2 linked regions of the Neurospora crassa OR74A genome follow. The protein of the gene in region 1 binds, or shares a complex with, the protein of each later gene. Links are inferred from orthologs where the notes say so. Each region holds a gene or a part of one and is shown on either strand. Other genes may lie near its edges.

The links.
Region 2: the proteins of NCU00777 (region 1) and NCU01201 are in contact, whole or in part, in a crystal structure (PDB 4QTT), measured with the Saccharomyces cerevisiae proteins. The link is inferred for Neurospora crassa OR74A from reciprocal best matches to the Saccharomyces cerevisiae genes BUD23 and TRM112. Residues at the interface, in NP_009976.1 of Saccharomyces cerevisiae: Pro47, Cys48, Ser49, Phe50, Asp70, Val72, Cys74, Ile78, Leu83, Leu87, Glu92, Gly93, Asp94, Leu95, Met96, Leu97, Gln98, Asp99, Thr102, Ile104, Pro105, Phe106, Arg107, Gly109, Ser110, Phe111, Asp112, Arg139; in NP_014444.1 of Saccharomyces cerevisiae: Met1, Lys2, Leu4, Thr5, Asn7, Phe8, Leu9, Lys10, Ser12, Lys14, Asp17, Phe23, Ile40, Asn43, Glu45, Phe46, Asn49, Ile50, Arg53, Val54, Asp55, Leu101, Asn123, Gly124, Ile125, Pro126, Asn127, Leu128, Leu129.

Annotation. Positions count from the first base shown.
Region 1 is NC_026501.1:7,208,136-7,212,445, forward strand, and holds the start of NCU00777 (methyltransferase), read left to right. Parts: upstream 1-1,299; 5' UTR 1,300-1,507; coding exon 1,508-1,530; intron 1,531-1,610; coding exon 1,611-2,424; 3' UTR 2,425-2,632; coding exon of another isoform or gene 2,633-3,767; 3' UTR 3,768-3,866; coding exon of another isoform or gene 3,867-4,310. Other genes in the region: NCU00778 (sed5 vesicle protein), read right to left, coding at 15-388, 475-708, 786-855; T (tyrosinase), read right to left, coding at 2,633-3,767, 3,867-4,310. UniProt on the Saccharomyces cerevisiae protein: S-adenosyl-L-methionine-dependent methyltransferase that specifically methylates the N(7) position of guanine 1575 (m7G1575) in 18S rRNA. Requires the methyltransferase adapter protein TRM112 for full rRNA methyltransferase activity.
Region 2 is NC_026505.1:3,221,088-3,224,231, reverse strand, and holds NCU01201 (trm-112), read right to left. Parts: upstream 1,797-3,144; 5' UTR 1,648-1,796; coding exon 1,462-1,647; intron 1,271-1,461; coding exon 1,073-1,270; 3' UTR 637-1,072; downstream 1-636. Other genes in the region: NCU01202 (hypothetical protein), read left to right, coding at 1-89, 151-290; NCU01200 (peptidyl-prolyl cis-trans isomerase B), read right to left, coding at 2,106-2,359, 2,602-2,753, 2,823-2,949, 3,011-3,144. UniProt on the Saccharomyces cerevisiae protein: Acts as an activator of both rRNA/tRNA and protein methyltransferases. Together with methyltransferase MTQ2, required for the methylation of eRF1 on 'Gln-182'.

The sequences.
Region 1 (4,310 bases):
GTGCCCTAGACCTCCTATAGCCGATCGTCGGACTTCTTCCAGCCCACTGTGGACGTAACTCCTCCCACAGCCCCCAGGATGTTGTCGACAACGGACTTGATCAGGCCCTGCCCTCGTCTTGCCCTTGTACCATCACCACCGACGCCGCCAGCGCCACCGCTCGAAGAGGCGTCATTACCCATGGTGGGCAGGACATTGTCACTTGCCGACAAGCTGACAAAGAGGGCGAAAGGAACCAGCCATACACAAATGCCGAAGTAGGATGCGATCTCGGTGAAGGTGGGAACATTGGATGGCATGTCGTAGTAAGAAGTCATGTTTTGATAGGCGCGCTCTTGGTGACGCGAGAAGTGCTTGAACCACAGGTAATGGTTGACGAGAACGAGGCCTGACAGGAACAGCCAATGTCAGCAGATGCATACGAGATGAGGGAGTTGATGTGGGTTGAAAAGGGGCTTGTTTGCTCAAGCTTACCGCATGACAACACGAACAACGGGTCTGTCAATTTGACATAGGGGAACCTCCGCATATTACCCAAGTAGACGACATGGGAGCCAACACTGAGCAGTGTTAGGAAGAAGGGGAATCGGTCGACAAGGCATAGTAGAAGCTGGATGACGATGATGGTGTAAATAAGTCGAGTAAGAAAGCGCTTGGCAACAACGGTATGTTCTTCGACAACTTCGGACAGGTAATATAGACCCGAGGCTATGGTGCAATGGACGCCTTGTTAGCAAATGCAGGCCGGTCTCCCGCAGCAGGCAGCTTCACGGAGCAAGACGTACCAATAGCCAGGGTCAGGAAACAGAAGCCCGCGATGGAGCCGAGATAGCCAACAAGAGGCAGAATCCACATGTTGAGATAGAAGATTGATTGGGTTGGAATTAGACGGGCATAATATGGGAACTGGCTGGTGGTGGTAGGGAGGTCATCCAAGCTGAAGGAATGGCAATGTGTTGGGTTATGGAGATGTTGTTTCTGGAGAAAGGAAGCTCAAGGCTGGTGCCAAGTGGTGAGCCTGGAGACAACCCCTTGTACCCTATGGAAGCTCCCGGTCCCTATTTCCCCGGAGGGTCACTGCTACTTACCCCTGACGTGTTCAATTAAACAGACCGTGTTTTAAAGTGGGGCGGACCGTGACGGTTCAGGTTGCAAGCGAGGAATGTCATCATGGGCTGGAATTGGCGGCCGTTAAGGTACGATAAGGATATGTCGATAAGCTAGGTGCCGCCAATCCCACCAGCGATCGCCCTTGGCGGAACCCCAGAACAACCCCACTTCCAAAAGGGCCCATTGAAACTTTTTTGTGTCCCACCACACCGCTCGCCAGTACCAGCACCAGCACCAGCACCAGGCTGACCAGCAGCACCATCCTGTCAATCCATCCGCTGTCGGCGCATTTCCACTTCTGCTTGTCGCATTCCTGGACAGAAATCACTTCTCTCCTCTAGCCAGTCGTCAATTTCCTTGTTTTGTAATTGTCTAGTCTCAATCCAGCCAGCCCAACATGTCTCGCCCCGAAGATACCCTGTAGGTCCACGACTCGACGACAGCCTCGCGACAAGCACTCCCGTCCTCCTCGTTTTGTGCCCCAAAGCTAACAACACCAGCGCGGCCGATGTCCACTATGACGACACCGAAGCTCGCAAGTACACCACCAGCTCCCGTATCCAGAACATCCAGGCCTCCATGACCCGTCGTGCCCTCGAGCTCCTCGACCTCAAGTCTCCTAGCTTCATCCTCGACATCGGTTGCGGCAGTGGCCTCTCTGGCGAGATCCTCTCGGACGTTCCCGAAGACGAAGGCGGCCCTCACGTCTGGGTTGGCATGGACATCAGCCCGTCCATGTTGGATACGGCTCTACAGCGCGACGTCGAGGGCGATCTCTTCCTCGCAGATATTGGCCAGGGCGTGCCATTCCGCGCCGGTTCCTTCGACGCCGCCATCAGCATCAGTGCCATCCAATGGCTATGCAACGCCGAAACCAGCGACACCGCCCCGTCCACCAGACTTTCGCGCTTCTTCAACGGCCTCTACGCCTCGCTCAAACGTGGTGGCAGAGCCGTCTGCCAGTTCTACCCCAAGAACGACGTACAAAAGCAGATGATCACTGCCGCCGCCGTCAAGGCTGGCTTCGGCGCCGGTCTGCTCGAGGACGACCCCAACACCAAGAACGTCAAACTTTACCTGGTTCTCACGGTCGGCAAGGACGCTACCGGTGGCAAGGACATCAGCACTGTCGTCGAAAACATGGACGGCGTCGATATCCTTGACCAGAGAAAGAAGGGCAAGGGCGGAAAGGGCGAGATCAAGAAGGGCAGCAAGGGCTGGATCATCAAGAAGAAGGAGCAGATGGAGCGCAAGGGCAAGATTGTCAAAGCCACCTCCAAGTACACTGGTCGCAAGCGTCGTATCCAGTTCTGAGCTTCGGGGTTGTTGGGTCTGTTTGTCTCTTATTCACATCTGCATTGGGAAGGCGTTTGGGTGGTTACGGCGATGAAAAAATATGTCTTTTTTTGTTCTGGATTTTGCCATTTCTTTTACGGCTGAAATAACGATACCCGGTTTCTTGATCTCACCCTACAGGACCCCCCCCTTTGGACCTTCCTACGTTCTGATGCTGAATCCCCCTTTAGATGTGATCCTCTGGGCCATGTCCGCACGGCTTCCCCTCGGTGATCTCAGGATAGACGGTATACTGGCGAGAGTAATGTGGCAAGCCTTCCTCATCGATAGTCACCTCTGTCGAAGCCACACTAACCTTGAGGTCCGGAACCTCCTCCAGATTATACTCGTCGCCGTTGAAGAGGGCCACCTTCCACTTCAAGTTGGCGCGCAGATGCGGGATGACATCCTCAGGCTTGAGGCTCTGGAGCTCGCCGCCCACAATATCCTGCAGCAAAGCGGAGGTCAGGGGCACAGTGCCTGAGACGATCAGACCGTTTGCGTTATCCTTGCGGCACTTGCCACACTGGGTTTCGGCGCTCCGTCCCAACACGGACACACGACCGACGCAGTTGAACTCGTCGTCCCAGGTCTCTGGGTCGGGGTTGAACTCGCCCAAGAAGACGATGACACGGAAGGATTGCCCCAGACCGTGTTTCTGGGCGCGAACGTTGACAATCCAGTCGGTGTACTTTCCGTCTGGGGCGAGGTACTTGAGGCTCTCTGGAATTGGGCCTGGTGAAGCTGTCAGCTTGGATGGACGTTTTATGCTCAAGCCGATCATCATACCTGCGGCCGTGCTCGACTCGGCCTTTGTATCCTTAACAGGCACCACCGGCTTCTGCGCCTTCTCCTCAGCGTGCTGGAACACATTATGGACCTTCTCTGCGACCTTCTTGGCCCCGGAAAGCTCAACTGCATGAGCAGCAGCAGCCGAGACGGTGCTCTTGCTCTCCTCGCCAGTTGCCTGCGGTTTCTTCAACGCCGGCGTTCGGTCGGCGACATTCTCAACAAAGTTGGCAAACACATTGCTCCCGTACAGCGCCGTGACAGACTTCCTGATGGCTGCCTGGTACTCCTTTACGGACGAGTACTTCCACTTCTGCGTCTCAGGATACGCGTATCCGAAGGTGATGCTGTCCTTGACCTGCTCAGAGGTCCAAAAGTTGGCAGCAGATTTGTCCCAGAACGGCTCCAGAGGCGTGCTCTTACTCTGGCTTTCACCCTCCTGTGCGACGAAGGTCGAGTAGGGAGCGGGTCGGGGAGTCATGAAGCTGTTGGGGTTAAGGTCTTGCCAGATAGACCAGAGGCGGTCGACGTTACTTCAGATCAAGGGCTTCTTGTCAGCGACGATAACGGAATGGGGCCTGTCAGGCATGACCGATGCAAAGAAAAAAGGGAAAAGGGGAGTGACCACATACACATGGTGCAACCAAAACAGCGGATCAAAAGCCGACACCTCCAGGCTCGACATATGTCCATTTCCGCCTGTCCGATCATGAATCTCATTATGCACATCCTCCAAACTGCCGAAATCACCCGGGTTGGTATTCGGATCCCACCTGTTATAACTGAACGCATCAAAGTCCTTGTAGCTCAGCAACAACAAACTGACATTATTTCTCAATGACGCCAGCTCGTTCGCCAAGATGGGCGCAATCCGCTCATCCCGCGATGCCCCTGTCAGCCGGTTTGGATACCGGACCGTGCTTGGGTATCTGCTCCACGCCGCGCTGAAGTCACCAGGGCTAGGGTTGACCGGGTGGAAAGTAAACCGGTGCAGCGGGTTGTTGATGCTCTTGGTCTTCCCGTCGACATCCACCACCTGTATGGTACGCGATGAGAGGGACTCCGGAAACGCCAGC
Region 2 (3,144 bases), on another chromosome or scaffold:
ACAGTTTAGCTCTCAGGAGGGCAGTGACAACGGCAACACCACTTATGATAACCGCCCGCTGTTTGCGAAGTATCAGTTCTTCACTCCTGGTATGTAATCATCATCTCAAGTCGGCGCTTTTTTCAAGGCAGTAGACTGACACTGAACCAGGCATTTTCGTCGCCCTGCTCGCTCTCATTGTCATGCTCTCCATCCTGGGCGTCGGACTGAAGGCTCTCGGTAGTCTCGAAGTCTCATATGGCGCTTTCGACAAGGAGATGGGACCGACTGCACAGAAGAAGCAGCAGTAAAGCGCTTGGAGGCCCTGTTCCTCGTGTTTTGTAGGGTTTGGGATGCAACGAACAACAGATGTGCATGCGGCAGAACACAAGTTTTGTTTTGCTATGGAATCATGCTATGTATATGGGTTTGGGGGACAGGCCGGAGTTCGAGGGTTCTTGTTCTTGGTTGGGTATCATTAAAGCATTGCGCATTCGTACACTAGAACAAAGCAAGATGGGAATGAAAACAAGAATGCACGCATGAGCAATGATATGCATGAAACATGGGCAATAACTAACTTTGGAAACTTCAACCTGTCACCTTGGTGAAATGATTTTTTTTTTTTTTTTTTTTTTTTTTTTTTTTTTTTTTTTTTTTTTTTTTTTTTACGCCGCTGATATTTGCCAGATAATCCTCTATTGATGTTTTCCCTTACAGAACGCCTTGAAAGTGAACAAGTAAAATGCTGAAATAATTAACCGCCCCTCAAGAAATCATTCTCGCCATACTCTAGTCTCTTCAAGGACAGGACGACTCCTGCGGTAGCCCTTAACCAACCCTGGGCAGTCACCCAAACCATCCATCCATCCATCCATTCATTGCTACCCGCAGGTGGCCAGCCTTCTGGCATCGCATGCATTCCCCGAGTCCGTGTGGTAGGAACCACTTCTCCATCTCTACCACTCCTTGGTGCTTACTATCCGATGAAGATTCCCCGATTCTCCAACAGGTCTCTGGCAACCAGTCCAATTAGTCCAGTTGACACGACCATCCCTGAAAACGCCTCGCCTTGCTGCCTCGCGCTCCACACTCATACCAAGTGGCTAGGCAAGAGGAAGTTGGCCACGCCGTTCTTGACGGCGTACTCGTGTCCGCAGTGGCCGCACACGAGCTTGCCCTCCATCATTTGGGTCTCCATGAGCAGCTCGTGCAGCTCCTTGAGGAGAGCCTCGTCGGACTGAAGATCCTCTGGCGAGGGAGGCTGCTCGGGGAGGGTGGGGAAGCCGAGCTGATGTGTGTGTTAGTTGAGGACGTCGTTGAAATGCTGTTGTTGTTTGGGGTGAAGTGAAAGTGTGGGAGGGTGAGGGAGGTGTGAGATGGACGTGTGGTATTTCTCTGAAAATTGGGGATGAAGATATATTGTAGCTCCATATCGAAATGGTGGGTCGGCTTTGAAAATACAAAAAGAGTTCAACGTACTTCGGTAGAAGTAGTCCGCAGAGCAGCCCAGTCGATGCGAGGCAAGACATTGATCAGAAGTTGAGGGTTGATCTCGATATCATCTTTGGCCAGCTCGGCCTCCTTGGGGTGCAGCGGGAACGAGTCGTTGGATGACTTGCAGTTCTTGACCGCGCAGGTCAGAAAGTTGAGTGTCATGACCTTCATCTTGGTGGGTTTTGGTTGATTGAATATTATGTTTCTCAACTAGTTTTGGATTCGGCCAGCGAGACCTAGAGTTTCGGGGAAGATAGTGAAAAGATGTTCAAGGTTTTCCTGGTCGTGGTTTACGAGTCGGTACTGTCTTACCAAAAATGTAATAAAAAAAAAAAAGTTCGATATCCCAGCGACTCGAACGGATAAAAATGGATCCACGTGATGCTACTTTTATGCTTCGACTTACAGACACGCCACTACATCGCCGAAGCAACCATCACAACCATTACCGCGACTGATATACATGGGAATAAAAGCGAACTATCCGATGATTTCATTTATGCCCATGATTTGATCCTTTTTTTTCTTCTCCCTTTCAACAATACTCGTCTGGGCTACTCACGCCCGCCCAGACCCTGATAGCTACCTGTTATGCAGCCTTGTCAGATTTCAAATATTCGAGATATTGCCTACTCCATGCCCTTTCCGTACGTACCCTTAGGGGCGCGACGAAGGCGAATATACAAAACGAGACCTAGAACTAATACACCAAAGAAGAGGACCTTGGCGAACAAGGGAGCACCAGTGTCATCGTCGTCGGCGGTGGCGGCGGGGATGCTGTCGTGCGCAGGAGGCTTGGCATCGGTAACAGGAACAGGAGCAGCAGGCTTCTCGTCTTCGTTTGCGTACGCGGGAGATGCCCATTCCGACTGGCCTTCCAGGCCTGATGAGAAAAAACACCGACTCATCAGCACATGGACTCATATACACGGGTAAACGGTCATAGGAACAAAACGATCCACAATTGGACACCATTGTAGGTATGAGGATCCAAAAAGTTTTGCTTCTATATCCTTTCCTCTTTTATATGACTTTTCCCACACAGGTTTATGAACAGTTAACGGTGGGGAAATGGGGATTCGCAAGGATGGATAGAAGACGCTTTTTAAAGCTCCACATGGATACCTTCAGGGGGAACCTCAAGCTCGCCACTCTTGGCGATCTTGATAGGCTCAGCAGGAGCATCGCGAGGACCGGTCTTGGTGTTCTCAATCTTCTCGACGACATCGTAGCCCTCGAGGACCTCGCCGAAGACGACGTGCTTGCCATCGAGCCAACTGCGACAAAATGTGTATTAGCCAACCGGGCACTTCCTAGACCATGCGGCTCGAGTGTATTCGACTTACGAGGTGATGACAGTGGTAATGAAGAACTGGGAGCCGTTGGTATCCTTGCCAGCGTTGGCCATTGAGAGGAGACCCTTCTTGGAGTGCTTGAGCTTGAAGTTCTCATCGGGGAACTTGTCACCATAGACTGTACACAAGCGGTCAATGATATGGACCAAAGTGCATAACGGAACTTGGAAGCAACATACTGGACTTGCCACCGGTGCCATCGCCCTTGGTGAAGTCACCACCCTGGATCATGAACTGCTTGATAACACGGTGGAAGGTAGAGCCCTCATAACCGAAGCCCTTCTCGCCAGTGGCAAGAGCGCGGAAGTTTTCA